Linked DNA regions of Elephas maximus indicus. The protein of the gene in region 3 interacts with the protein of the main gene of each other region in a pairwise test. Links are inferred from orthologs where the notes say so. Each region holds a gene or a part of one and is shown on either strand. Other genes may lie near its edges.

Region 1 (7,878 bases), on a different chromosome or scaffold from region 3:
CCCATTCCTCTTAAGCTCCATGCCTCATCACCTATGCCCACCTTCCATTTTTCCAGAAAAGCCTATGTGCTTCAGTTAATGGACTTCCAGTCTGAAAGCCATTATCTCTACAGTTGTGGATTGACAGGTAGATGCTTTCTTACTCTTTAGCCTATGAGTCAGCCAGAATTTTATCAATTTAGCTTTAGATCTTTTTTTATTAGATTGTTATCATGAGGCCAAATGGCTAAGAATATTTATTTATCCCTTTCTTCAAAGCCCCTAGTCGTAGTGGTAGGAAATATCAAGGAAGACTATTATTTCATTATTATGATGATAATGCAAAAGTATAAGAAGTCCACAGGAGTAATAATGGACTTAGACCTTCAACATTATGAGTTCAAGCAAATTAATATCCAGCAAGAATATTCTTAAACCTAATGAGATACCTATTTGAGAAGGAAAAGCTAGGTGACTTAGAACTAAGCAGGACCTGCAAATTAACTCTGTTAATTCCCTTACCTGGGGACTGAACACCAAACAGTAGTTGAGGAACCAGAACAAAAATGGTTGAAATTGGCACAACGACACTTTGTTGTTCTGTAAACTGGGTGGTTTTCTTAATCTTTCCGACTACAGTTTCAGGGGAAGGATGAGTGCCCAGGGTTCTGGGACCATGTGTCATTGCTATGGAGATTTATCTTATTTAAGAAATTATATCACCCAGTCTTTTTGTAATGATAAACACTTGTTTCCTCATTTCCGAAAACTGGGAATTAACTGCTTTTTCATAGCTGCCTTATATATACTTTTCAAGATGACAAAAAGAGTGAATAAATCTACTCTTCCTTGAGTGTGCTAATTATTATTTTTTCTTTAGTTCATGCTAACGGAAAAAATAACTCAATAACAGTAACTTAACTGGAGAAGGTTGAACTTCTCAATCATTGGAATTAATGACTACAAATCACTTTTTCATTAGGTATTAGTGCCATAATGGGCATCTACTACTATTCCTATAGAAGACTTTAGAAACAAATACAAATTACTTCAAGTGTTTCCCAGTTTTCAAAATTACTTGATACACCTAAGTATCTAACCAAAAACCCATTGCCATTGAGGCAATTCCGACCCATATCGACCCTGTATTACTTCAAGTGTTTCCCAGTTTTCAAAATTACTTGATACACCTAAGTATCTAACCAAAAACCCATTGCTATCGAGGCAATTCCGACCCATATCGACCCTGTAGGACGGAGTAGAACTGCACCATAGAGTCTGCAATGAGCGCCTGGTGGACTCAAACTGCCAACCTTTTGGTTAGCAGCTGCACGATTTAATCACTACGCCACCAGGGTTTCCACCTAAGTATCTAGCAGCTATGAATCCAGGAGAAAATTATTTTCAATTCCAAGAGTAAAAATGATTTATCTTAAATTAAATGATTTTCAGAGCGGCGTATCACGCCGAAAACCAGTGCGTATAACACCGGAAATGGAGATGTCATCGACTCAGAAACGCTTATTCTAGATGGAAACCGAACTATACGCTTTTTCTTTATTATTTGTAATCTAAAAAAAATTTTTTTAATTGCTATTCCAGGATGGAAAGAATCTTAATGTAAAAAAAAAAAAAAAAAAAAAAACTATGGGAAGCTTGCAAAGTTCTCTAGACAAACCTTCCAGCGACGCTTTTACAGAAGGAAGCATTTAGCGAAGGGTCAGGGAGGTTAGGGAAACTATGCCTGGAGCCAGAGTCCGTCTTCCCGGAGCGACTAGACAAAACCAGGTGAGCCGGTGTCCCGGGCTCCGGATGGCGGCGAAGGGCGGGTCCCCGAGCTGCGGGCATCTTTCTGGCCAGGCGACCCCTGCCCCATCTCCGGGAGCCCAGGGACTCCCAAGGCGGGAGCGGGCTACCCGGGCGCGCTGCCTGTCACCTCCCGCTCGCTGGGAGCATCTCCCGATCCGTGGCTTGCGTGGCCAGCTCGTTCCCTCCGCCATCCTCAAGTCCTCCGACATTTTTCAGGGAGATCGGGAGGTAGAGAGAAGAGGAGCAATATCTGCACCCCGCCTCTGCCGCAGCCCAGGAAAAGGCAAAGGAGGAGAAGGCTGGCGAGGAGGCAGCTATTAAACCGATTCCATCAATAAGAAGAAGAATCCCCATCACCCACAGTGAGGGTGCTTCCGATACACCCACCCCGGCAGCGGTTCGAGGGCTGGTGGGCGTTCCTCCTCCTCCTCGCCCCCTCGCTGGCTGTGCAATCGACCCCATGAACCCACACCAGAACTCCCTTTCCTGTGACTACGAGGAGGGGAAGGAACAAAAGAGACCCCGAGCCTCGATACACACACACACACACACACTTGATCGCTGCTAAAGGTACTCATTTTTGCAAACCCTTCCCCGGCTTACACCTTCCTCACCTGAATAGTGCATTTTCCCAAAGGCAAAGAAAGGTAAGGGAGAGAAGGTATTACCCGAAGGAGATGGGTCGCTAAAAACCTGAATTCCACAGTCGGCTTCCGAACCAAACGATCACAAACGCCCCCTCCCCCGCAGGACCCGGCGCCCCCAGGCCCGCCCCCGCCCAGCGCTCCCCGCCTTGGCCCCGGGCGCCGCTCTTCGCGGGCGCCGGGGACCCCCCAGGGCGCCCTCCCTCCGCCGCCGGACATCGGTCACCCCCGGCCGCAGCTGCAGGGCGGCGAGCGGAGCGGCTGGGCAGCCCCGCGGCTCCAACTTCCCCGAGCAGCTCCCCGCGGGGACTCCGGCCCGCAGGCGCCCCGCGGGCAGGGCAGCGCTCTCCGCCCCCTCTGTCCTCTGTCCTCCATCCTCCTCCCCGCGGGCACACACGCACCCCTCAGCCTAAGCAGACATTTTGCTGTCACACAGTTAGCACGGCTCAGCCTGCACGGCCACCTCTTACCCAGTGCCTGGAGGGTGGGCAGCGCACCGAGCGGTCCGGGGGCGCGGGCGGGCGGCTCGGTCCTCTAGCGGCGCTGGTGCGCTGCCATCCGCCCAACTTCAGCACCCAGCCGGCGACGAGAGGCAGCCAGGCGAGGATGGAGGCGGGGGCGGGGAGAGGAGGAGGGTGGGCGGGCGGGAGGGAGCGGGCGCCGCTCGGCAGCGCGCATGCGTCCCGCCGCGGGCGCAGCCTCCCGCCCGGCGCCGCTGGAGGGGCCGCTGCCGCCCCGGCGCTGCCTGAGTCACGGCCCCGCCCTCCCGCCCGCGGCCCGGCCCCGCGCCCGCATGGCCGCGCCCACTGTGCGGAGGGCTCGGCGGGGCTCCGGGCAGGGCGCGCGGTCTGCGGGGCGCGGGGGCACCGGGACCTGGTGCGGGGGCTCCTGCACCTTCGCGTTCACCCGCAGCCCACGTTCTTTTATGCTGGGCTGTAGGAGAACGCTGAAAAGGAGCGAACCGGGCGCAGCACCGGGCTCCGCGTGGAAGCTTTCCCCGTGTGGAGTTCTAGAACGTGCAAAGTGAAGCAAGTTTTGCTTTATCGAGGGTCCTTTACTTTATTGGCTTCGTCATCCAGAAATAGGACCCTTGTCCCCAAGAATTATTTCAGAGCGCTCGGGTGACTCTGGTCTGGGGCATATTTGCTGGCTCAGGCGTCTGCACCACGGCAGCGAGAGATTTGAGTGGGCGAAACCGTGGGTAAATGATTAACAGAAGTGCGGATACTTGGGGCCTTGGGCATCCTTTGGGAACAGCTTGGTAGCTATCAGATCTGATAATTGTTCTAGTCACAAGCGGGGCCCAGCATGGTAGCAAAGGAGCGTTCAGACACTTTAATGCATCATGAGCGCTAGATTAGATGATTAGATTGAAGTGTTCGGAAGGAAGAATTAGGAAACGGGTGTCTTTCTCATCCGATATGATCTCTGTGGGAAGAGGAGTGAGTTCCTGGCAGGAATGATTAGGCTTTTTTCTCATCCCTTTTTAAAGCAGATTACTTGTAAGTATACATGATTTCCGTTGCTTGCATGCTCATATAGTCAGACATTTTTATCATTATGTCAGGCTCCTTTGCTAACCAACCTTCCCTCTCTCACCTTCTACTTGACTCATTTCTTCTCTAGCAACATCCTTGACTTTTGAATACTAGTGCTTTTTACAGTATATTCCCCTGACTGGTGCTGGTCTGCAAATGTTCACCGTTGTTATTGTGAGGCGCCATCAACATCAAGTCAGTTCTGACTCATAGCAACCCTATCAACAAAAGAAGGAAACACTGCCCGGACCTGCTCCATCCTCACAAGAGGTTGCCATGTTGAGCCCATCGTTGCAGCTACTGTGTCAATCCATCTCATCGAGGGTCTTCCTCTTTTTTGCTGACCATCTACTTTACCAAGCATGATGTCTTTCTCCAGGGACTGATCTCTCCTAATAACATGTCCAGAGTACCTGAGACAAGGTCTGGCCATCCTCACTTCTAAGGAGCATTCTGGCTGTAGTTCTTTGAAGACAGATTTGTTCATTCTTCTGGCAGTCCATGATATATTCAATATTCTTCGCCAGCACCATAATTCAAGAATATCCATTCTTTTTTAGTCTTCCTTACCCGTGTCCGGCTTTCAAATACATATGAGAAAATTGAAAATACCATGGCTTGGGACAGGTGCACTTTAGTCATTGACGTGATATCTTTGCTTTTTAACACATTAAAGAGATCTTTTGCAGCAGATATTCCTAATGCAACACGTCATTTGATTTTTTGGCTGCTGCTTCCATGGTCATTGATTGTGAATCCAAGTAAAATGAAATCCTTGAAAATTTCAATCATCTCTCTGTTTATAGTGATGTTGTTTACTGGTACAGTTGTAAGGATTTTTGTTTTCATTACACTGAGTTGTAATCCATACTGAAGGCCGTAATCTTTGATCTTCATCAGTGTTTCAAATCCTCTTCGCTTTCAGCAAGCAAGGTTGCATCATCTGCATATCACAGGTTGTTAACGAGTCTTCCTTCAATCTTGATGCCCCGTTCTTCTTCATATAGTCCACTTTCTCTGATTATTTGCTCAGCATATAGATTGAATAAGTATGGTGAAAGGATACAAACCTGACGTACACCTTTATTGATTTTAAACCACACGGTATCGCCTTGTTCTATTCCAACAAGTGGCTCTTGGTCTATGCATGTTATCCATATTTGTTATGATGCCTTTTGCATAGTCAATAAAACACAGGTAAACATCTTTCTGGTTTTCTCTGCTTTCAGCCAAGATCCATCTGACATCAGCAACAATATCCCTTGTTCCACATCCCCTTCTGAATCCGGCTTGAATTTCTGGCAGTTCCTGTCAATGTACTGCTGAAACCGTTTTTGAATTATCTTCAGCAAAATTTTCATTACATGTGATAGTAATTATATTATTCTGTCATTTCCACATTCTGTTGGATCACCTTTCTTTGGAATAGGCATGAATATGGATTTCTTCCAGTAGGTTGGCCAGGTAGCTGTCTTCCAAATTTCTTGGCATAGGGGAACAAGAACCTCCAGCACCGTGTCTCTTTATTGAAACATCTCAAGTAGTATTCTGTCAGTTCCTGGAGTCTTGCTTTTTGCCAGTGTCTTCAGTGCAGCTTGGACTTCTTCCTGCAATACTATCGGTTCTTGATCATATGCTACCTCCTGAAATGGTTGAATGTCAACCAATTCTTTTTGGTACAGTGACTCTCTGTATTCTTCCATCTTCTTTTGATGCTTTCTGCTTCATTTAATATTTTCCCCATTGAATCCTTCAAAATTGCAACTCAAGGCTTGAATAGTTTTTTTTTTATTATTAATGTTGTATTTTAGATGAAGGTTTACAGAACTAGCTTCTCATTAAACAATTAGTACACATAGTGTTTTGTGACATTCGTTACCAGCCCCACAACATTCTTTCTCGACCTGTGTTCCCTGTTACCAGATTTTCTGTCCCCTCCTGCCTTCTAATCCTTGCCCCTGGGCTGGTTTGCCCCTTTAGTCTCGTTTTGTTTTCTGGGCCTGTCTAATCTTTGACTGAAGGGTGAATCTGAGGAGTGACTTCATCACTAGCTAAAAGGTTGTCCGGGGACCATACTCTCAGGGTTTCTCCAGTCTCTGTCAGGCCAGTAAGTCTGGTTGTTTTTTTGTGAGTTAGAATATTGTTCTACATTTTTCTGCAGCTCTCTCTGGGACCCTATATTGTGATTCCTGTCAGAGCAGTCAGTGGTGGTAGCTGGGCACTATCTAGTGCTGAACTCACTCTGCTGGAGGCTGTGGTAGTTGTGATCCTTTAGTCTTTTGGACTAATCTTTCCCATGTGTCTTTCATTTTATTCATTCTCCATTGTTTTCAACAGGATGAGACCAGTGGAGTATTTTAGATGGCCGCCTACAAGCTTTTAAGACCCCAGATGCTATGTGCCTATGGAGGTTCCATGACTTTGCCTTGTAAAAGTTGTGCTGGCTTCCCCAGTATTGTGTAAAAAAAAAAAAAAAGTACTGCCTTAAAAAAAAAAAGGCAAAAAAAAAAAAAAAACCATTGCCGTTGAGTTGATTCCAACCCATAGAGACTCTATAGGACAGAGTAGAATTGCCCCATACGGTTTCCAAGGGGCACCTGGTGGATTGGAACTGCCAACTTTTGATTAGCAGCCATAGCTCTTAACCACTACACCACCAGTGTTTCCATGTGTACTGCCTTACTCTTCACCAAAGTAACCACTAATCTATTGTCTAGTGGTTTTCCGTCCCCACCGCTCTTCTCCCTCATAACCATTAAAGATTGTTTCTTTTTGTGTGTAAACTTTTCATGAGTTTTTATAGTAGTGGTCTCATACAATATTTGTCCTTTTGTAATTGAAGTATTTCAGTCAGGATAATGCCCTCCAGATTCAGCCACGCTGAGAGATGCTTTCCAGATTCATCATTGTTCTTTATTGTTGCGTATTACTTCATTGTGTTTATCAAACCATAGTTTGTTTATCCATCCGTCTGTTGATGGGCATCTAGGTTGTTTCCATCTGTTTGCTATTGTGCACAATGCTGCAGTGAACATGTCAGACATGGGTGCACATATGTGTATTCGTGTGAGGGCTCTTATCTCTCTACGATATATTCTTAAGTGTGGGATTGCTGGATCCTATGGTATTTCTATTTCTAGCTTTCTAAGGAAGCACCATATTGTCTTCCAAAATGGTTGTACCATTTTGCATTCCCACCAGCAGTGCATAAGAGTTCCAATCTCCCTGCAGCCTTTCCAACATTTATTATTTTCTGTCTTTTTGATTCGTACTGGTAATGACAGTGTGAGATGGTATCTCACTCTGGTTTTGACTTGCATTTCTCCAATGGCTAGTGATTGAGAGCATTTCCTCATGTGTCTTTTGGCCACCTGCATGTCTTCTTTGGTGAAGTGTCTGTTCATTTCCTTTGCCCATTTTTCAAATGGATTGTCTTTTTGTTGTAGAGGTGTTGAATTTCCCTGTAGATTTGAGAGATTAGACCTTTGTCAGATTTGTCGCAGCCGAAAATTCTTTCCTAGTCTGTAGGTTCTTTATTTACTCTTTTGGTGAAGTCTTTTGATGAGCATCAGTGTTTAATTTTTAGGGGATACCAGTTATCTAGCTTATCTTCTGGAGTTTGTGTGTCATTACTTATGGTTTATATCCTCTTAATGCCATGTATTAGAGCCTTTAGTTTTGATCCTATTTTTTTCTTCTATAATCTTTATAGTTTTTGATTTTATATTTAAGTCTTTGGTTCATTTTGAATTAGTTTTTGTGTATGGTGTGAGGTGTGGGTCCTGTTTATTTTTTTGCAGATGAACATCCAGCTTTGCCAGCAGCATTTGTTAAAAAGACTGTGTTTTCCCTGTTCGATGGACTTTGGGCCCTTGTCGATGATCAGGTGACCGTAGGTGGTTGGATTT
Region 2 (7,121 bases), on a different chromosome or scaffold from region 3:
GTATGGTCTTGGATACTGGGGAAGAGAGGTATACCAAAGAGAAGGAGGCAGGTCCAGGGTTGGAAACAGGAGTAATCGATACTGGGGCATGAAACAGAGGTGAGGGAGATGGAAAGGGTTATCATGCTGACCTGTGGAAGTCCTCAATGCAGTGGATCTGGCTGGTGGCATCCACCGTGAAGGGGATGCCATCGAGGCCACGGTGACACACCACACAGGTGAAACAGCCAGGGTGGTAGGCCTTCCCCATAGCCCGAAGGATCCGGTCCAGGATGGGCTGGGAGCACATGGAGCACTTCTCCAGGGTGGCCTGTTGGGAAGGGGAGCAGGAAGGTCAGGGGACCCCATGGTAGCCCTTCAGGCATCCTGCCAGCCTACCCATCTATTTACCTAGCCTCCTGCATGTGATTCAGTGAAAGGTGGACCTGAGAGGATGAGTTCAAGTCCCAGCACTACAACTTACTGGACAAGTCATTTAACCCCTCTAAGCTACAGTCTCCAGTAAAAATGTCATCAACGATAATACCTGCCTCACAGGGCTAATGTGGGGATTTAATTTATTCCCTTAACTCTAAAATGCTTCACACTTGTAAGGAACCATTGTCTTCCCCCTCCAACAGGTTCTAGTTCTCCAACTTTGAGTCCTTTTCCTTTTTGGGGCTGGCCATCTGGCTCCCACCTATCTCCAGCTGCTGACTCCAGCCACCCAGCCCGAACCACTTACCACATAGCAGCTCTCACAGTACGCCCTCCTCTCCACAGCATAGAAATGCTGGCCCTGAAGCTGGGCCCGGCACGTAGAACAGACAAAGCAGCCAACATGGAAGACTCGGTCAAGGGCGACCACTCCGGCCCCATCCCCCACCACATCTTCTCCGCAACCCCCACACCGGCCTAGGGATAGTGGGGAAAAGGTCAATCTACACAGACCCAGAAGCCAGACCCCCACATCCTCTGCCTCTCCAGTATCACCTCCCCATGCTCCCACACTGCAGAGGCAGCTCACCAAAGTACTCCCCGCTGGGTGGGTGATTCATGTCATGCACCAGCTTCTTGGTCAGCCTCTCAAGCTCCTCCTCTGGAGGCTGGCTCAGGGGGACCTGGGAGGTGGGAATCAGGGGTTTGGTCTTACCTCTGGACTTCTGGCACTATAAAAATCCCTGTGTGTGACATGACATGCGATTCAACCCAGAAAGCCCATTTGAGAGCAGCTCAGCCCAGGACCCAGGGGAGAGCCTCGAGGAGACACCAGTGCTCTACCCCCTCTCTGGCCTCCCCCACACCCTTTGGGAATCCAGAGCTCTGACATCCCCGACCTGTGACTCTGCTCTAAAACCAGGACATTAAACACCATCCTCACCCCACCCACTCAATATCCAGTTGTCTATAAAATCCCAGTGCCGTGGACCTACCTGGGACCCGTACCTGCCTCCTCTTCCTCCTCCTGCAGGGCCAGGGACCCTGGCAGCCTCCTCTTTACCCCCTGGCCCTGGCTCCCGGTGGCTCCTATAGCCAGCCCCCCAGACTTCACCTCGGCTGGGAAGAGGAAAGTGGGGCCCCAGGAGGGGCCTAGAAGCCTGAGAGGCCCCCCGCCTGGGTGGGCCACAGCCTCTCACTGGTTGTGCCACCTTCACCTGCACAGGGAAGGCAGGGCCAGCAGGGGTGCTGGCAGTAGCATAGGAGGCCGGAGTGGGACCTCCATAGGGGGATGCTGGGAGCTGCAGGGATGGAACACCCCCTCCGTTCGGCTTCAGGGAGCCCGTGCGGTAGGCAGGGGGCTGAAGGGGCTCATAAGCCTGGGGAGAAAGAGACCACAAAGAGTAAGGAAGGCCCATTCCAGGTCACACATCTGTGGAAACCCCACGTGTGGCCCCAAGATGGGCAACTTTTGAGGAGACACTGCCCTCAGGTGGCTGACTACCTAGTAAGCTCTCTGGCCCAGGCTTCTTCATGCTGGGCGTACATCTCTCACACAGGAGTAGGACGGAGGTGGGTGGAATTCAGACTGAGAATCAATCCAGGGAAGGGAGCAGGCTGGAGGTGTGGGAAGCAGGGGACAGTAAGCAGGGTTAGGGAAGGGGAGGAGTCACCTGTCGGTCTGGTCGCCTTGGCACGTGACCACGACCCCCATCCAGCTCAGCCAGCATGCTGGTCAGCGAATCTATCTCAGCATCCAGACTTCCTGGGCCCAAGCTCCCTCTATCTAGGGGGAGCCCCTGGAGATGGAGCAAAAGCAGGGAGATGCAAATCACAACGTCTCCTCTGCCTCCCCGGGTCCCATTCACACTCGACTCATGCCCCCCACTTCCAGTATTCACCTGCGGGCGCTGGGGTGCTCCATGGGACCCCCCCCAGGCTGGCCCCCGATCCTCTGGTCCCCCTCCGGCCTGGTAACACTGCTCAGATGGGAGGGGGCAAAAATTGACTCTGGGGTGGGGCTGGAGTGCTGGGTTGAGGGGAAGAGAGACCAAAGGTAGGGATGGAGAAGACGAGGGGCGCCAAGAGGGCCCCGCCTTTCCCTCCTCCTCCACCTGGGGTCTGAGAATGGGGGCAGGCAGGACCTCCCAGCCCGCTTGGGGGAGGGGGCAAGAGTGGAGGGAAGAGGCGAGCGCTGGGCAACCGGCGGCCCCTACGGCCGCACCGCACCGGGGCTGCCTTACCTGCTCCGTGGGCCACCGGTGGCCCTGGGGGCCCTCGAGGGAACACTCTCCCCTGAGGAGCTCTGGAGGACTCCGGCTGCTTCGGGGGGAGCCAGGTGGGCTCCGACATGGCCTGGAGCGGGGGACCCCTCAGAGCCCCGGATCTCTGGCCTTGATCCTCTCTTCCTGCACCTCGTTTGGAACTCCAGGAAAGAAACTTTTTCTTCCTTTTTTTTTTCTCCCTTCCTTCCCAATTTTGGGGATGACCACGCCCCTGATGATGTCACCACATTCCTGGGGGAGGGTCACGTGGCCCCCTAGGCCCAAAACCACCAACCCTCCCAGAGTTGGCCCCTCCTGCGGGGCGGGGAGTGGTGTCCTGGATCCCGCGTTGGCTGCCTCCAGGTCGCCCGAATCCCCCAGCCCCACACCCCTTGCTGCCACTGGCTCCGCGCCCCCAAGTCCTGCACGTGGCAACCTCGCTGTCGGGACAGCTCCGGCACCCCTGTTTTCCACATGCCGATAAATGCTTCTCCCTTTCCCAAGGGCACATGGCTTTCTTGTCGACCCACCTCCCATTCCCCTGCTGCCGGGCAGTGCTCAACCAGCATGTAGTTTGTTGATCTTTTATTTACGTTCAGCAGAGTTAGAAAAATAAAACAGAACGAACACATCACAACCTCAGGGGTCAGTGAGCCTGTCAGCGATGAGAGGGAGACTGAGGTAGCCTAGAGTCGCAAGAGGAGAGCCAGCCCCTCCCAACAAGGCACCAGTGAAGGGAAGGGGGGCTGCTGACTGCCCCCCCCACAGTGGAGACTGGGATGCAGAGCTGCCCTACGTTAGTACATGGGGTCCCACTCACAATGGGAAAGGAGTTGGCCCGCCCAGAATCCCTTGACATCTCCACTGGGCTCCAGCCCCAAGTGCAGGGCAAGTGGAAAGAGGTGCTTCCTCTCCTCGACATCCACTAATCAAGAGGGGTTGCTGAGCCTGGGTGGGCCCTTTCTACCCACCATCAGGAATGGGGCTCCATTAGGCATCAGAGATCAGTGCATGTGACAGGAGTGACACCATGAATGAGTAGCGTGGGGCCCAGGTCACGGCTCAGGATCTCCAGCAACGCCAGGTATCGGAGGTATCGGGCAGGATCAGCGGGTGGCCGAGGCAGGTACAGGAAGGTCAGGGCAGTGGCAGGTCCCTCCTCCTCATCCCCACCCTCCGGCCCACCAGGCCCTCCACTTCTGCTGCGCCCCTGCTGGGCCCGAATCAGGGCGTTGGCGCTGCATGCCAGCGCCTCTGCCTCAGCATCTCCCCACCCGCTGTTCTCAAAGTACCCTTCCTCTTCCAGCTCTCTGATGCCAGCCCCCTCGCCCCATACCACTTCCTGCACTTCAGCCCGGATCCTCAGCTGGCTCAGCAGTGCCCGGAGCCGCTCCTCAGCCGCCCCAGGGGCCTCCTGAGGCCCCAAGCACAGGAAAATCCGGAGACGAGCACTGTGCCAAGCAGGCACCATGCCCAAAATGGTTGCCATCTGCAGCAGGAAGAGGCCACAGACGTCCACATAGCCGGGCCCACCCCGAGGCCGCAGCAAGTTGAGGGGCCACACGTCCATGTGGTGTGGCTGAGAAGTGCCCCCAGACCCCCGGCTCAGCCGCTCAGGGGGCAGGGCTCCACAGGCCCGAGCCAGAACCACGTTCTTGTTCATCTTGAGGGCATCCGCTACGGTGGCCACATAGTCCTGGGGACTGAGAGCCCGGGGGCTCCCAGGAGCCCGAGGTGGAGAGAACAAGGTGCTCAGGGCTGGAGGCCCCCCCTCCCTAGTGCCATCAGTAGGCTCCGAGAAAGCTGGGTCTGTCAGGAAATGGTCCTGAGGTGGGGCATCATCGTAGAAACCCAGGACCAATGTGTTGGGCTTCATGCCACCTGGGAGCAGAGGCAGGAAAGAACAGACAGGAATCAGACTCACAGATTGAGCTTCTACCACACAAGGATGCGCCCACGGACACACTGACAATTAGTGTGTCAGCCATTAAGTATTACATTTACACTGTGTGTGGGTTCTCCTGGCATTATGTATATTTGCATAATGACTTTTTCGTTTTCCTAAACACTTTCACATGCATTTATCCACTTATCTTCATCACTAACCTCCTCCTTTAAATAGTCAAAGCTCGCCTCACTTGGAGAATACGCACTTCAGGGCCATGGGAAGTAGGAACCTGTTTATTCCGCATTTTTAAGCAGCACACCTTTTTCATGATGGGAGAGTCTGACACCCTGATTAGTCAAGTTCATGGCCTCAATCCCCAGGGAAAGCACCTCAGATCCTGCTATGACATGAGACGAGCTAGGCTTCACAGCCTGTTCCTACTCCTGCAAAGCCTCGGAATGTTACGTTCACAGCACCATTCCTGAAGGAACTTACAAGGCCCCAGGTCCTGTTGAAAGCACTGGCTTTGAACAGGTTAGGGGATTTTTGCTGTTTTTTTTTTTTTTTCCTGAACCTCTGCTGAAAATTTGCATTTCTAACAAGTTCCCAGGCCATGCAAATAATTCCACCCCAGGTATACTGAATCAGAATCTATGGTTTAACAAGATCCCCAGGTGACTCTTACATATAATAAATCTTGAGAACCACTGCTCTGCTAGTGGTTCTCCGAACTGGTCCCTAACCAGCAGCATTAGAACAGCCTGGGAATAGGTTAGAAATGCAAATTCTCAGCAGGGGGCAGAACCCCCCACCCAACAAAACTGACCCATTGGAACCCTGGTTTTAACTCATTTAATCCTTGAAACAACGTTGTGAGGTAGGTAACACTTATTCTTCCATTTTACACATAAGGAACCTGAAGCACAGAGCAGGAAAGTAACATTGCCGAAGTCTCCCTGCTCTCGTAGGTACCGGGGCCAGCACATGAACGCGGCAGCCTAGCACCAAGCCAGTGTGCATGCGAACCACAACGTCCCAAGTCCCTGCCAACAGCTCCCTGTTTTGTACTACTTCCACAGTCAATGTGGAATGTGATAATCCCTCCCTTTCACAGGGCTGCATTTTCAGAAGGCTCTGAAACCACTTCCAAAACTCCTCCTCATGAAACAAACGGGCTGCAAAAAACCTACCAGTGAATCAAATTCTACGCGCCAGGAGAATGCACTACCTAGAGGAAATCCTTTCCCTTTTACTTGAATCAAGATACATTTCCTGAAAGTAGTGACCTCTTGGAGCCCTGGTGGCGCGGTGGTTTAAACATCTGGCTGCTAACCAAAAGCTCGGCAGTTCAAATCCACCAGCCGCTCCTTGGAAACCCTATGGGCACTTCTACTTTGTCGTATAGGGTCGCCATGAGTCGTAATCAACTTGACAGCAATGAGTTTGGTTTTTTTTTTTTTTTTTTTTTGGTTTAATAGCCTCTTTGCAGGTTTCCTACAAGGGTGGGGCAGAGGAAAGACCAGACTCTCAGATGCCCCTGGGCTATCTAACGATGCACCTCCCCCCACCCTACTGCAGATGAAACTAGACATCCCCTCCTGAGCATTTTCTGATGTGCACTGAGCAAAGCAATGTCCAGCACTGTCGGACATCAGATCCTAAATGGAAAAGGTGGCCACAGATATTGAGCACAAATTTGGAGGAATGTGCAGCCCAAGGCTAGAGGCCTCAGCATTAAGACACACTCACAAAGCTTGGGAACCTTCCCCATGCCCTTGGCATCCTCTGTGCTCTGTGGTCTCCGGCCCACGTTGCAATGCTCCCCACTTCTCCAGCCCATTCAAGGCCTGGCTGAGGTACCATCTCTTCACAAAAACTTTACGGGCCATATCAGTGCGTAGCAGCATTTGTTTCTCTGAACTCTGGTGCTTAGAAACCATCTGCCCTAGATTTGATAGGGCAGCCCCAGACCCAAATAATTACTCTTCTCTTGCCCCTAGAAGTACAACAGACTCATCAAAGCCTGGGCCCCGATTCTTGGTTCAGGAAAAAAAAAGTATCACCCCATCTCTAACGCTCAGCATCTTCTACTAGGCCTTATCATATACCACCATCAGCGTGGTTGTTATCTTTGAGCACTGCATCTTATCTGCACTAGATTCTGAGTTCCTTTTAGAGTTTGCAATTTGTGATTTACTCTCTGGGAGAGGGGAGTGGAGATTTAACGGGTCCACAAAGGGAGCTGGAGGAAACAGAGAGGAAGCAGCTCACCAAGGCCTGAGATACGCAGCAGATGCTGAGCCCCCTGGCGCACGGAGGGAGAGAGGGTGAGGTCCACAAAGGCCTTCACTTGGGCCCGGTCCACCAGGCTCAGCCATGCCCCATACTGCGGCTGCACAGGGTCCGAGGGCAGGGAGTCTGTGGAGAAGGTAGGCAAAGGAAGGCAGCCCATGTGGCCAAACCCCTTTACTTATTCCCAGACTCCAAATCCCAAATGAGCAGAAGAAAAAGGTCCAGGCAGGCTGTGGCAGGGTGGGTAGGTCATCTGGAAA
Region 3 (7,344 bases):
CTTGTGAAATTACACTCATGGGAGAAGCTTCAGCTACATGATAGTGGGAAGCATTCATTTTTATTCAAGAAAAGGACAACTTCTTGGAAAAAACATACCACCCTTCTCTCTCTCACTACATGAAATGAATCCAGTTTGTAGGAATTAACAAATTATAGCCCAGGCAAATACACTGATGCTTAAGCATACCTGAAACTTCAATATATTTATTACAGACATCTTAAGACCCGTAACTCTGCTCTGATCACATCACTTCAGAATCTCAGAGCTGTTCATGATTGTACAGGAAATGGGGAGTACCACAGGCTCACAAAAAACTGACAGAACTCAGTGTGGTACTTCAGGGAAATCAAAACATTGTGTGACATGCAAAAGACGATTCACGAATCACACAAAATATACATTCATTGAGCCATCCATCACGTTAACAACTAAGCTGAAAATACATCATATCCAGCTAAGATAACTGCGAAAGGAAGAAGCTGGTTTGAATACCTTTAGGTTCAGAATAATCCAGCACAAATTTTAAGTGGAGGGGGGCGGCCAGTGAAACAAGAAGGGGAAGGGATGGGGAGACAGCACAGGAAGCCAGGTTTCTGAACCTTGTGCTCTGTAGGCAGACCTTCTTAACTCACTGAAAATGAATTGAGGCTACTCTCTGAAGCATCTGATTGGGTTTAAATGAGAATGTATTCTTTTACCTATAACCACATATAAAATTGTACCAGCTTTGAGTTTGCCCACCCTGTTATAGTCACTTAATCCAAACATTTCTAGAAAATTTGTATAAAGATAAATCTCTCAGGACAAAGTATTTACAACCAGCAAACTCACACACATGAAATTGAATTAAATTAAGGGATGAATTGTGTAAACATGCTCATAGTGCATCTCTTCTTCATGAGCTCCTAGACTCTGTGTGTGTGTGTGTGTATATATATATATAGCCTACCTTTAAGATCAGGGTAGGGGAGGACTAAATATACAGATAAGTAAAAGATGAGAGGCTGTCCTCTGACATGTTTCTGCTGGCAAAGGGAACTATTTTCCAAAGGGGATCCAAAAGAACAGTAGGTTCTGTAAAAATAGAAAAGTGGGTAGAACTGTTAAGGGCCATCAGAAAATTGATGCTGGCACCCGATCTGGATTAAGAAGTTAACCCCCCACAAAGTCTCTGGTCTAGAATGCTCTAGAAACACATTAACCTGGCCAGAAGCTCCCCATATAGGACCAGAAAGGAAGAGAGAGACTGGAACTGGAAAGGAAGGTAAGCTAAGAATGTGCTTTGGGTTAGAAGTCCCAGCCCAAGGAGAAACCTGGACTACAGAGTCTGGGGCTGGGGTGCCCTCAGTGGGAGGTAGTCAGAGTGTCTGAGGTAGAAGACCCCGGGGAAGGAACGCAGGGTGAGGAGCTGGACTTCTCTGAGGATTCCTCGGCTTTCTCATCGCTTCCCGGCGGGGTGGCCGGAGAGATGGGTAAGAGGCCCTCCTTCTCCCGTTTCTTCTGCTTCATTCGGCGGTTCTGGAACCAGATCTTCACTTGGGTCTCGTTGAGCTGCAAGGACGCGGCGATCTCCACCCTGCGAGCTCGCGTCAGGTACTTGTTGAAGTGGAACTCCTTCTCCAGCTCCGTGAGTTGTTTCGTCGTGAAATTGGTACGGACCGCATTAGGTTGACCCACGTAGCCGTACTCCCCAACTTTCCCTGGGGTCAGGATGGAATGCGACGAGAGAAAAAGGTAAGAAAATTAAATCGACATGAGGGACATTTATCCCCTACACGCTTCAGAGCAACATTCAGGTAAAGGAGAGATGAAGAACTTGTGGGCACAAAACGGGCTGGGGAGGGTGAGTGATGAGATGTGAGGCGTTAACCTGAAGTCAACCATCAGTTTGGTCAGACCCCGTGATTAATGGAACCTGAGATATTAACAGAACCCACACTCATTCACTTGCTACTTCCAGAACCTCTCAAACTCAGTCCCTTTGAAAACGCATCCGTCCCAGAAGCTTCCGTGCCCCAACACACCTGGGCAATCTCCTGCCCCACAACACCGGTGTTAAGCAAGAACTTTTTTTTTTTTTTTAAGACCGTTATTAACTTTCCTTGAGAATTAAGCATACCAACCCCTTGTAGTATCATCAAGGAGCATCCATCGGCTGGCAGTAGACTAGGACTGACCTGTTTTGGGAGGGTTTCTTTTGACTTTCATCCAGTCAAAGGTCTGCGCTGGAGAAGATGTCTCCGACGCAGGGGAGCGACAGGCTTCTTGGTGGCTGGCGTGGAGAGGGGACAAGGAGTTATTATACGTGGCCAAGGCCAGGCTCTGGTGCTCCTGTCCATATGAATGGTGAATGTACTGAGGCGAGCCCACTGCGCCCCCAGCATAACCCTGGTGGTGGTGATGATGCTGGACCATGGGAGATGAAAGATTTCCAGAGTAAACAGCGGGAGCGCACGGGGGGTACCCACCACTTACGTCTGCTTCCTGATTTAATGCGTAGGGGCTGTAAGGCGCGCCAAAGTTCTGTGCGCCGTAGCTTGTACTACAACTCGAGTGGGAGTAGGACACCCCCAGGTTCCCAGAAGTCTGGTAGGTGGCCGGCTGGGGGTGGTGGTGGTGGTGGTGGTGGTGGGGTGGGCTGATCTGCACCCCCCGGCCTACTAGGAAGCGGTCGTCGCCGCCGCAGCTGTTGGCACTGACCGCGCACGACTGGAAAGTTGTAATCCCATGGTCCGAGGGGTAGGCTCGCCCTGAGCAGGTCCCCGAATCACCACCGCTGAGGATGGGGTATTCCAGGAAGGAGCTCATTCTTGCATTGTCCATCTGTCACTGAGTGACTGGATCCTGCGACGCCCTGGGTGATCGTGCCAACTTTCTCACTTCCTCCATGGGGCCAGAGAAGAAAAATGATATGAATGTACAGTGAGCGGGAGGGGGGGCGGCGGGAGGGCCGAGGGAGCAAGGGGAGGGGCACGTGACTATGTCAGCCAATGGCTGAGCCTCCTGCGAAATTTTGCAGGCTCCAGCAGTGATGGATCACCGTTTCAGTGGCATTTAAATCCCCGGCGCTCCTCCGCCTAGGTGACGCGCAATCGCCCCCCCAGGCAGCCCAGGCGGCGGCAGCAGCTGCGGTGTCTGCAAACAGCGGATTCGGAGCGCTGGGGCTAAGGGGGGCGGCTGTCTTCAGCGCACGCCCAACTCCGCTCGCCCCCCGTCCTGGAGGTGGGGGCTGGGGGGCATTCCCCGCTCCGTGCCCCTCCCCGTCGTGCACAGGAAGATGAACTGGCAAGAGGTGAGAAGGCGAAAGGGCTCCCGCTCTCTCGGGTCGGGAATCAGTGGGCTGGAACTCGCCGGGCGGCCGCAGGTACGCGGGCCCAGAGCGAAGCGCTCGGAGCCGGAAGGGTAGGCACTGGGCCGGAGCCGCGCCCCAGGATCTCCTAGCGTTTTCACTGTACTGTCCCTGCTGTGGGACCTTGGGGCCGGGAGGAGCGCTGAGAACGATGGCGGAGGCGAAACTGGGCCATCGGATCTCCAAGCTCCAAGCAGAGAGGGAAGTGAGCAGAGAGCTGATTGGGAGGAACCCGGGGTGAGCGTGGAGGGGATGGGGGCAAGAAAAGAAACTCCCCCTTCCCCGGTCGCCGTAGCGGCCTTCCGGCCCCACACCCTCGCCATTAGCATGGCAATGAGGAGCTTCGGTAATTCGACGCCCAGGGGCGGGTGAGCGCTTGCTGCCGAGTTTGCAGGAAAAGGCCTAGGGTGGCGGGGCTCTTCTCCGCCCTTTCTCTCTCCTCGCTCTCCGCCCCTTTCTCCTCCCCACTCAGCTTTGCTCCGGGAGCCCTCCGGGAAACCCAGCAACTCTGCCACTAGATTTTGAGGCGTAGGAGGCGGGGGAAAGAGATGACGCTAGCGGACGTAGCCAGCGTGGTGGTCGGGCCGCGCGCTGCAGGCCATCTGCGGGCTCCCCAGGACCCAGGAGTCTGCGTGCCCGGGCGGGAGCCTCAAAGGGCGGGAGAACCACAGCTCCAAGAAAACATCCCCCCCCCCACCCGCCACCTTCCTCTTTTTTGGAAGGAAAATATTAGGAGTGGGAGAGCCTCCTTTACCCGCCCCCTACATTCTACTGCACGTCAGGGGTGGGGGCTGGCAGGTGGGAGAGGCGGTAGACAGATGGCTGATGGTGGACTGGACACTTGCCTCTTCCCCAGCACCATCTCCTCCCCTTTCCAACTGACTGCGTAGCTGCTTGTATTAGCCATCTAGTCTTTCCCTAGAGAGACGCGTGCAAATCTGAGCGTCATCTCGGGCCAGGGGTCCTGTTCTCCATCACCCTCGTCCTACTCTGATGCTGATGGGGTCGTTAATTGGTGTTTACTATTAGGTTTGGCGACACCCCTGGGCTAGTGGAGAGAAAAGGCCAAACCGAGGCCGAGAACTGATGCATTCTTAGGTAGAAGAAATCTAGAGACCATGCAAGAAGTTTTGCAACCAATGCCCTATAGATTTTACTCTATGTTTACAACATCAAATCCGACAGATGAATTTTTTTGTGAGGATTACATGTGGGTTTGCGTTTCCCACTCTCCTCTTGCTTCCCCTCCCCCAGTTTAAAAGAACTAAGTTTGGTTGAGGTAGGTACATTTCAAAGGTGTTAGTCACCTTTTCAGGCTTCTGTGTTCTGTTCTTCAAATATAGAGACTCCGCCCCCCCCCCGCAAAAAAACCTGCCTCCCCAAGAAGGAAAACCCATGCAGACCTTTGGCTCTGAACTCCTCGTAGCAAAGAGACGTTTTTCCCCCAAACACTTCCTTTTGAAATGGTATTTCTCAGTGATCTTTGACCCTTTCCCATGTGTAGTTAAGAGGGGGCACAGGCAGGAAAGGTAAGATTCAGCTCCCGGGGAACTCGCTCCAGATGCAGCTCTTGGGGAACCTCCTCCAGTAGAAGGGAGTAGGCAGGGCGACCCTCCTGGAAGCGGCTTCCTTCAGAGCGCCAGGCCTTCAGGGGAATGGCGAGAGAAGGCGCCCCTTGGGGAAGGGGGAGGGAGGATCTGTGCTGGCTGTGCGGGCGATCTGCTCTTCAGGCCTAAGCTCCTCAGTACGTTCTCCCCCCGGCCTCATTTCTATACTTCCGTTGGCCTCCTCCGGCCGAGCGTTCGCGAACCCCTCCGTCGCATGGTGCCAGTTACAAAGCCGCCCTCGGCCACAGTCACGCATCCTCCTTTTCTAGCAACCAGGCCTCCGTGCTCCTCTCTCTCCACCTCTCTTCTTCTCTCCTAGCTTCTTTTCGGGGACAGCCTGGGTGGGTTTGTTTTTCTTCCTTTCCTTAGGGTCAGAAGCGTACACTCGCACACAGGCCTGCAGACACACGGGCCGGTGACCATCCCTTCTCTGCGCTCAGCTCCGGTAGGCCGGGCTCTCTAAGCCGAGCGGGCTCCTCCTCTGCCGGCCGCCGGGAGCGCCGCTCTCCCCGGGCGGCTCCCAAAGGCAGCCTCCCCTGGCCTCAAGCCCGTAGGCTTCCGTAGCTCGGTTCCTTCCCTACCTCCCCACCCCCTCCAAGAAATTCTGGGACCCGGTCTACAGGATTGGAAACGCTTGGCCCTCTGGGCTCGCAGGCCAGCGCCCAGCCTCGAGCTAATGTCTTTGAAACGCCCGGGAGGAGTGGGTGAAAGGCGAGCTTGGTCACGATTAAAATAATCTCCCACAGTAGGTTCCCTGGGCTCAAAGCACCTCTTTCAGGGCTCTTCTACTATACAGGGAAGGAGCGAGGAGGAAACAAAACGCCGCCGAGGCCCGGAGCTGTTCAGGGCATCCGCGGCTCAGCCAAGCTGTTGTTTTAAAAGAGCAATAAAAATGAATTATGACTAAACGCCTTCTAACTTAATGCTTTCGGACGGGGATCCCCGGCAAATACGTAAGAGGATTTTTATTTGTGCATGTGTTCCTGCAATTGATCTCTTTGATGACATTCTCATTCATAGAAAGCGGTTGATTTATGAGCATAGGACGAATCGCATCCAGCCGCCGCGCAGCCCTGGCCGGGGCTGAGCCGCCCTGCTCCGCGCCGCGTCTGGGGCCCGGAAACCCGGCGCAATCTCCACACAACCCCGCCGCTGCCGGAATTTAGGGGGTAAAGGGGCGGGGGGAAAGTGGGGAGCAAATGGTTGGAGAAAAATCGCGATTTCATTGTAACTTCCAAGCCTTTGCATTTAAAAGCCGGGTTGGTAAATCAACCGGCACCACACATGTTGCTTACACGCTACATTTTCTCACGGTAAGTAAGTAGCCTGCAGAACAGAGCTCAGAAAGGAAAAAATAAACATGGGAACATGTAAGAAAGGGGAAGAAAAAAAAAAAGAGCAGCCCAATAACACACCCTAGATCATATTTTATTGATGTACCATTTAAAGTGCTTATTTTTTCGTTCTCTAGAAATTGGGTTAATTCATAACCTAGAGTGCAGAAACACACTCCGTTTTAAATCTCGACTTGCTAACCTGGCTTCAAAGCTTTAATGATCCATTATTTGCAATGTAAACAGGTTGAAGAATGAAATATTGATTTTTCTGACCCTGAAAAAAAAGAATACTAGAATGACAGAACCAGAGGATTGAAAAGAACACTTTCTGCAGTGCGCTTTCTAGCTAGTAACCATTGTTTTGTCGTATTTTTGTTTTTAGGTCTGTTTGCCTGAACCCATCAACAGCTGGGAGAGGAATCAACCACTCTGAAAATGTGTGTGTGGGGAGGGGGGGTTGTGGGGGAGGGGCTGGAATGTAGATGTTTTAAACAAACGTGTACAAATAAATGAATTGCTGGTAACTTAGTTATTGACCTGGAGACTGGTAGCTTGTTAAAGAAACTCCACGTTCCTCTTTGCTGGAGTGGGAGGTTTCTGTAGGCACTTTATTTCTCCACTTTGAAAAGCTTCAGTTTGGCCCTTCTCTCTGCCCCATCCTGTTTCTATTGCCCATTCAAATCTGTGGCTAGAACCTCTACGCTGAAACCAAATCTATTCCCTTCAAAACAAAAAACATTTCTCAGAAGCTGTAGCCATATTCTGGCTTTCTTTTGTTATTGTTGATGCTGTCTAAAGAAGACTTTAAACATGCCCCTTAATAAACGTACTAAAATTGAAAAAGAAGATAAATTGTGACTAGAATTTTATTTACCAAGTTAGACTAAAAAGAAGAAAAAGAAACCATTATGAGCCATGAGAAAGAGGGGGAGAAAAAAATAGAAAGCTACTTGTAGCAAAGGAGAATTTATTCTACCAAAAATACGCATGACAATGCATCCTAATGTAATACAAAAATAAAAAGAAAGTGAAGATACCATTATATGAT
Region 4 (7,613 bases), on a different chromosome or scaffold from region 3:
GCTCTTATTACCAAACTTCTCAAAAGCAAAGCCTATACTTCAATTCATTCGTTGGCTTGCAACCTGTCTTTGATCCACACTTTTTTTATATGGTCACAAATGATGACTTTGATGGTCATCTGTGAGAAAACCCATTTCCTATACTTTTGTTTTGAGTATATACAGAATTAACTATATAACTAAATATGAGCTTTTTTTTAATACATTGGTTAGTCTTACACAAATTTATAAACCAGGAAAAAAATTCTCTGGTAGACCCTATAAGCTAGTTTTGGATTTAAACTCCTAATTCTCCAAATTCCGTTTCCATCCCTCCTTGGAATTTCAGCAACACTTAAAATCATTTGCTATCTCTCCTTCCTGAAATTATCACATCCCTGTCCTTCTTTAAAAGTTTTCTCTTCTCTTATTCTCCTATTATGTTCTTTTCTTCCTTGTACCTCCAAAGTTAGTTCATTATTTTCTATATAATTCTTGAACTTTCAGCAACATTTCTCTCTTTTTAAAATTCCCTTGCCCTGAATATTGATTCTAAATGTTCCATCTTTGGCCCCCTTGGAGGCTTCTTTTCTTTCTCCACCTTCCAAAGGCAGGTAATCCCCAAAAACCTACACTTAGGTTTCTGTCTTTTTTCTATATGGAGTCTCTGGGTGGCACAAACAGTTAAGCACTCAGCTACTAACTGAAAGGTTGGCAGTTTGAATCCACCCAGAGAAGCCTCAGAAAAAAGGCCTGGCAATCTGCTTACAAAAGGTCACAGCCAAGAAAACCCTACGGAGGGCAGTTCTACTCTGAAACACATGGGGTCACTGTGAGTCAGAATTAACTGGTTTAGTTCTTCTTTCTATAAGACATCTTCTCTACTCTTATGATTTCAACTGCCATTCCTAAACACAACATACCTCGACCGTCTTCGTACAGTTCCAACCCCTTAATGAACATCTCTACTTGGATGTCCCACAGTCACCTTGCGCTCCACCTAAAAAACACTCATCTTCCTGACCAAAACCAGTTCTTCTCCTGATTTCCTTAATTCTGATTAAAGGTGTCTCTAATCTCATTATCACCCAAACTTAAAACCTCTATTTTTAACCCATCCTAGTCAATTGTAAAAGGTTAACTTATTCTACCTCCACCCCAGGTCAGACAATCATTACCCTCTTATTCACCTCTACAGACATAACAGCATATTTTTTTTGTTTTTTTTTTGTTTTTTTTTTCCATAATACCCTGTAACCTGTTGCCCTCAAGTCGATTTCACCTCATAACAACCTATAGGGATAGGACAGAGTAGAGCTGCCCTGTAGAGTTTCCAAGGAGTGACTGGTGGATTCCAACCACCGACCTTTTGGTTAGCAGCCGAGCTCTTAATCACTGAGCCACCCAGGCTCCTTTTCCATAACAGCTTTTTTTTTTTTAAATTGTGGTGAAAATAATACACAACAAAACATTCTCCAGTTCAACACATAATAGCTTGTTAATTGCTTCTCTGTCTCTAATTTATCCTTCCAGTTCATGCAAAATATTATTATCAAATTAATCTTCCAAAATACAATATGATGACATTCTTACAATCCTTATTTATCTTACAATAGTGTTACACTACTCAGATTCTAAAATTAAAAATGAGAAAATCATGAATAATGAATATTACCCTGGAAAATTCCTTCGAAAGGCTCTCCACTGGAGACCCCGAGTTGGTTGGACACAGCCAGTTTTTCCTCCAGCATTGGAACAGATTCCTGTTTCTTTGGTTGAGCACCAGATGAAGTAGTTGGCTTGCTTTTAGGGTCCATTTTATATGAAAAATGCATATACGCATATCTTTAAAAATTAGAATAACACTCAGCTGAGTAACATGCTTGCACTTGAGAGGTACCCGGAACAGAGATAAACCGAGGGAATCACAGATTCATATTACTCCTGTCACGCTCACTCCAGGCAATCATTGAAAGGAAAGGTGGGCAATACTGCCAGCACTATTTAAGTTGTAATCTTTCTCTCTTTTTTATTTCTGGGATTATTAGTTTGTTTTTGTTTTGCTGAGATGATAGGATTCCACTTTTGTCTTCATTACAAGGTATTTAGATACTTGTCTTTACTTCTCCCCCAGAATCTTGAGGATAGGAATCAAGTCATAGTCCTATTTATATTTTCTATAGCATTTAACACGGTACTGAAAAACCCTGTAAATATTTTCTCAACAAATCAAATTTGCTTTGATTTGTCTGTAAGTTAAGTGGTTGACAGGGTAGCTTTTAACAGAATATGCCAAATGAAAATGTTATTTCCTATTTTATTAACAATCTATATTTTTTTCCATGAAAATATACTGATAGTCTTTTCTCTTGAAATTACTTTAAAACAGCAACTATTTTTTTCAAAATAAATTGGTCTATTTTAGATAATATAATAATGTCAATAAAACTGCAGTAGAGGCAGTAGAATATATACTTGCTGTCTACATTTGATATCTGAAATACACATGTTAAAATATATGTATATTTAAATAGACTTATATATTTATATTCCAAAATAAGAATAACCTACAGTTATAGTTACTATATTAAACTAATAACAGGGAAACTATTGTAATATGTCATGTCATCATGATTATATAAAAATCATGAAAAAAAACTGATAGTATTCCTGCATTAGACAATGTATCATTTGCCAATATTATTTTAAAATACCCTACAAAAACAACCGTAAACATCCCAGAATATCATACTTATACTATCCCCTCGTAACCTAAGGTTGTTACTAGAGTTATTTAAGTATTTACCTTGGGTAAGTATAAGATATCCAGAGCTGCTTCTGGGGGTCAACTTAAAAAAACTACCCTGTGCATTTTGAGGGACATACAAAAATATATTTTGGACTTGCTGCCACGTCCTCTAGATACCTGTATTTGCTTCTTCCTGAAACTTAGTGATACAATCTACCCTGTAGCATCCAAGAGTGCACACTTGACAGGTTTGAGAAGTCATCTTGAGTTGGAGCAGTGTGGTGGACATGCCCCAGGAGCACCTAAAGGGAAGCTATGAGGGTGACTCTAGGCGGTGTCACACAGCCTTGCTTCCCTGGGCAACACCGGCCCGGCTTTGAGAATGTTCCTAGTAACGCTGATTCCCGCGTGGACCACTAGAGGGCTCAGGGGGATCGTTGCCGCAGGCTGCCCTCTGGGTGATCGAGGAAGGAAACAGCTCCAGCGAGGTGATGAAGTTCATATCCGGCTGCTAACCTAACCGAAAGCCGGGAGGTTCAGTCCACCCACAGGCGCCTGGGGAAAAAGGTCTGGCAATCTACTTCCTCAAACTCAGCCATTGAAAACCCTACAGAAAACAGTTCTACTCTGATACACGTGGCGTTGCCACAAGTCTGAGATGACTTGACGAAAACTTTTTTTTTTTTTTTAATGGATATACCAGATGGACTTCAGTTATTTAGAGCTATGTGAAGATGTCTTCTGGGTCACTGATGCCTCGCATGTTTGTTAGAGAAAGATTATCCTACCTAGAAGTTTCTAGTTTTTGACATATATCCAAGGGAGCATGTTGCCCTCAAGGGACAAAGGTTATGTGTCAGAATGATAAAATAATAAAGCCAGTACAAACTTTGGAATGAGACAGACTTGTATTCAAATTCCAGCTTTGCTGTTTACTAGCACCAGATGATGAGTAAATAATATATTTAACTCCTCTAAGCTTTAGTTTCCTTATTTGGAAAATGTAAAGTGTTTGGTATAGATATTGCTTCAAAAATACTGTGTTTTCAATAAAAAGAAGTTGTGCTTGTTTTAGGAGTCCTGGTAGAGCAGTGGAGCCCTAGTGGTACAGTGATTAAGAACTTGGCTGCTAACTAAAAGGCTGACAGTTCAAATCCACGAGCCACTCTTTCAAAACCCTATGGGGCAGTTCTACTCTGTCCTATAGGGTTGCTTCAAGTTGGAATCGACTTGAGAGCAACGGGTTTGGTTTAGGGTTTTTGGTGCTTGTTTTCATTATTTTTATTTAACCTAATACAATTGGAATCTCTGAGACTTTGGGTGGCATCATTCATTGCTACTACTTACTACCTTTAATAAAACCTGGCCTCTCTGTCAAGATCCACCCAGACTTCAGATCAGTAAGAACCAACCAAACCTGGTAAAGTATGAGGTTCCCAGAAAAGTCTACTGCTCCCAAACTGGCCATGTTTTGTACTTAGGGCATAGATTTTTAAGTATTCTCATGAACAGCAGCCTGATGTCTCCCTTTCTAATCCCCAACCATGTGTGCCACCAGCCAAAATACAACCTTGGAGTATATCCCACCTAAATTTAGAGACCATCTCAAGAAAAGATCTGACACACACACACAAAAAAATCAAACCCAGTGCCGTCGAGTCGATTCTGACTCATAGTGACCCTATAGGACAGAGTAAAACTGCCCCATAGAGTTTCCAAGGAGCACCTCGCAGATTCAAACTGCCGACCCTTTGGTAAGCAGCCGTAGCACTTAAACACTATGCCACCAGGGTTTCCAAATCTGACACACTGAATGCTAAAGACTGAAGACCAAATGAGTTGTGGGATGACATCAAGACATCATACATGAAGAAAGCAAAAGATCATTAAAAAGACAAGAAAGAAAGAAAAGGCCAAAATGGATATCAGAAGAGACTCTGAAACTTGCTCTTGAATGTCAAGTAGCTAAAACAAATGGAGGAAATGATGAAGTAAAAGAGCTGAACAGAAGTTTCAAAGGGTGGCTGGAGAAGACAAAGTAAAGTATTATAATGAAATGTGCAAAGACTGGAGTTAGAAAACCAAAAGGGAAGAGTATGCTCGGTATTTCTCAAGCTGAAAGAACTGAAGAAAAAAATTCAAGCCTCAAGTTGCAATACTGAAGGATTCTGTAGGCAAAATATTGAATGGCACAGGAAGCATCAAAAGAAATACACATAGTCATTGAACCAAAAAGGATTGGTTGATGTTCAACCATTTCAGGAGGCAGCATATGATTAAGAACCGATGGTATTGAAGAAAGAAGTCCAAGCTGCACTGAAGGCATTGGTGAAAAACAAGGCTCCAGGAATTGGCAGAATACCAATTGTGATGTTTCAACAAACGAATGCAACATTGGACATGCTCACTCATCTATGCCAAGAAATTTGGAAGATGGCTACCTGGCCAACTGACTAGAAGAGATCCATATTTTTGTGCCCATTTCAAAGAAAGGTGATCCAACAGAATGCAGAAATTATCTAAAAATATCCACATCACATGCAAGTAAAATTTTGCTGAAGATAATTCAAAAACAGTTGCAGCAGTACATCTGCCAGAAATTCAAGCCCAATTCCAAAGAGGACATGGAACTAAGGGTATCATTTTTGATGTCAGATGGAACCTGGCTGAAAGCAGAGAATACCAGGAAGATGTTTACCTGTGTTTTACTGACTATGCAAAGGCATTGGACTGTGTGGATCATAACAAACTATGGATAACATTGCAAAGAATGGGAATTCCAGAACACTTAATTGTGCTCATGAGGATCCTGTATATAGACCAAGAGGCAGTTATTCAAACAGAACAAGGGGATACTTCATGGTTTAAAGTCAGGAAATGTGTGCATCAGGGTTGTATCCTTTCCCCATCCTTATTCAATCTGTATGCTGAGCAAATAATCTGAGAAGCTGGACTACATGAAAAAGAACATGGCACCAGAATTGGAGGAAGAACTCATTAACAACCTGTGATATGCAGGTGACACAACCTTGCTTGCTAAAAGTGAAGAGGACTTGAAGCACTTACCGCTGAAGATCAAAGCCTACAGCCTTCAGTATGGATTACACCTCAACATAAAGAAAACAAAAATCATCATAACTGGACCAGTAAGGAACATCATGATAAACGAAGAAAATATTGAAATTGTCAAGGATTTCATTTTACTTGGATCCACAGTCAAAGCCCATGGAAGCAGCAGTCAAGAAATCAAACGATACGTGGCACCGGGTAAATCTGCTGCAAAAGACCTCTTTAAAGTGTTAAAAAGCAAAGATGTCATTTTGAGGACTAAGGTGTGCCTGACCCAAGCCATGGTATTTTCAATTGCCTCATATGCATACGAAAGCTGGACAGCAAATAAGGAAGACTGAAGAAGAATCGATGCCTTTGAATCATGGTGTTGGTGAAGAATTTTGTATATACCGTAGACTGCCAAAACAACAAACAAATCTGTGTGGGAAGAAGTACAGCCAGAATGTTCCTTAGAAGCAAGAATGGTGATACTTTATCTCATGTACTTTGGGAGTGTTATCAGGAGGAATCAGTCCCTGGAGAAGGACATGCTTGGTAAAGTACAGAGTCAGCAAAAAAGAAGAAGCCCCTCAATAAGATGGATTGACATCAGTGGCTGCAACACTAGGCTCGAACATAGCAACAATTGTGAGGATGGCACAGCACAGGGCAGTGTTTTATTCTGTTGTACGTAGAGTCACTGTGATCCAGAACCAACTAGACGGCACCTAACAGCAACAGCCACAACCAAGTGTAGCCAATATCTTTAAATGCAACTTTCATCAGCATGCCTAGTACCTTTGGTTCCACACGAGGCTGAAAGCTTCATCCTGAATTGCAGTCACCAAAATCAGCAGGGTGGCGAGGACATGCAGTTGGAAGGACCAGCCCACCCAAGTAACCCATGAGTCTCTTTCCCTGGTGTTGGTCTCTACTTCTAACACCATGTACAGAATGCTCCCTGTTTAATGATTCCAATCCCACTTGATACTGAAACTCAATTGCCACTCAGAAGTTTCTCTCCCTGACGGGTCTCAACAGACCAAATAGTTGAGGCTGCATATTTTTATGAGAGTTAAGTAATTGTCTGGAGACACTAAACTAGCATTCAGATTCCTAATGGAGAATGTGGCTACAGAAAGAGGTTCACCCCAAGAGAAGAACATTGCTGCCAATTAATTCCATTAATTTCCAATTAGTTTAATATTCTTCTCAAGAAAAAAAAATCCAGAGATACACAAAAACAACTATTAGAAGAGAGTTCTCCATCCTCTAATCAAGAAAGTAGTTAATGTGAAATTGATGTGGTGATTTTGTCAAGTCTCTTTATGGCAGGACAGTGCTTGGAATTTTGGAGTTGAGTTTCTTCTTTCCTTTTATTTCCCCCCTTTTATAATGATGGATTTCCACTGATCCACCTGTTTTCTCCTCTAGAACCCTTCATGACCCAGGGTATGTATTTCCAGGATAGCAAGATGGAGACAAGGGCCGTGTGTAGGGATTAATTAGTGGCCCAAGAATTGAAAGGAATACTAAAAGGTGCGTACAGATATTACTGTAGAATTTAGTCCTTATTAGAAATGCGTTGTGAAAGATGGGCACCCATACTCATCTTAAAGAATTATAGACTCTCTCTCGTTTCTTCTCCTAAAGATTCTACATCTCTCAACTTAATTTTCTATTCTTGTTGATTTGTAAATTAATGAATTAGTTAAAGAAGAAAAATTTATTTAATAAGATGTTTCTCAGTATTGCTACGAAAAATAATCCAAATGATGTACTAGTGTATTTGCACAAAAAGAAGCACTGTGTCTAAATGTATGTAAAATAGCAG

The links.
Region 1: the proteins of HOXA1 (region 3) and RGS17 interact in binary tests that used the Homo sapiens proteins (3 or more experiments, as listed by UniProt). The two-hybrid records come from large-scale screens. The link is inferred for Elephas maximus indicus from reciprocal best matches to the Homo sapiens genes HOXA1 and RGS17.
Region 2: the proteins of HOXA1 (region 3) and TRIP6 interact in a two-hybrid assay, tested with the Homo sapiens proteins (2 studies listed by BioGRID and IntAct). The two-hybrid records come from large-scale screens. The link is inferred for Elephas maximus indicus from reciprocal best matches to the Homo sapiens genes HOXA1 and TRIP6.
Region 4: the proteins of HOXA1 (region 3) and NELL2 interact in binary tests that used the Homo sapiens proteins (3 or more experiments, as listed by UniProt). The link is inferred for Elephas maximus indicus from reciprocal best matches to the Homo sapiens genes HOXA1 and NELL2.

The regions. Positions count from the first base shown.
Region 1 is NC_064819.1:224,721,730-224,729,607, forward strand, and holds the start of RGS17 (regulator of G-protein signaling 17), read right to left. Parts: upstream 3,020-7,878; 5' UTR 2,903-3,019; intron 1-2,902. UniProt on the Homo sapiens protein: Regulates G protein-coupled receptor signaling cascades, including signaling via muscarinic acetylcholine receptor CHRM2 and dopamine receptor DRD2.
Region 2 is NC_064830.1:92,227,457-92,234,577, reverse strand, and holds the start of TRIP6 (thyroid receptor-interacting protein 6), read right to left. Parts: upstream 3,020-7,121; 5' UTR 2,770-3,019; coding exon 2,661-2,769; intron 2,447-2,660; coding exon 2,319-2,446; intron 2,217-2,318; coding exon 2,091-2,216; intron 1,797-2,090; coding exon 1,413-1,796; intron 1,101-1,412; coding exon 1,007-1,100; intron 895-1,006; coding exon 725-894; intron 311-724; coding exon 132-310; intron 1-131. Other genes in the region: SLC12A9 (solute carrier family 12 member 9), read right to left, coding at 3,679-4,562, 6,841-6,987. UniProt on the Homo sapiens protein: Relays signals from the cell surface to the nucleus to weaken adherens junction and promote actin cytoskeleton reorganization and cell invasiveness. Involved in lysophosphatidic acid-induced cell adhesion and migration.
Region 3 is NC_064826.1:88,263,924-88,271,267, forward strand, and holds HOXA1 (homeobox protein Hox-A1), read right to left. Parts: upstream 2,888-7,344; 5' UTR 2,827-2,887; coding exon 2,181-2,826; intron 1,704-2,180; coding exon 1,348-1,703; 3' UTR 511-1,347; downstream 1-510. UniProt on the Homo sapiens protein: Sequence-specific transcription factor. Regulates multiple developmental processes including brainstem, inner and outer ear, abducens nerve and cardiovascular development and morphogenesis as well as cognition and behavior.
Region 4 is NC_064822.1:99,697,155-99,704,767, forward strand, and holds the start of NELL2 (protein kinase C-binding protein NELL2), read right to left. Parts: upstream 3,020-7,613; 5' UTR 2,786-3,019; intron 1,933-2,785; exon of another isoform or gene 1,655-1,932; intron 1-1,654. UniProt on the Homo sapiens protein: Plays multiple roles in neural tissues, regulates neuronal proliferation, survival, differentiation, polarization, as well as axon guidance and synaptic functions.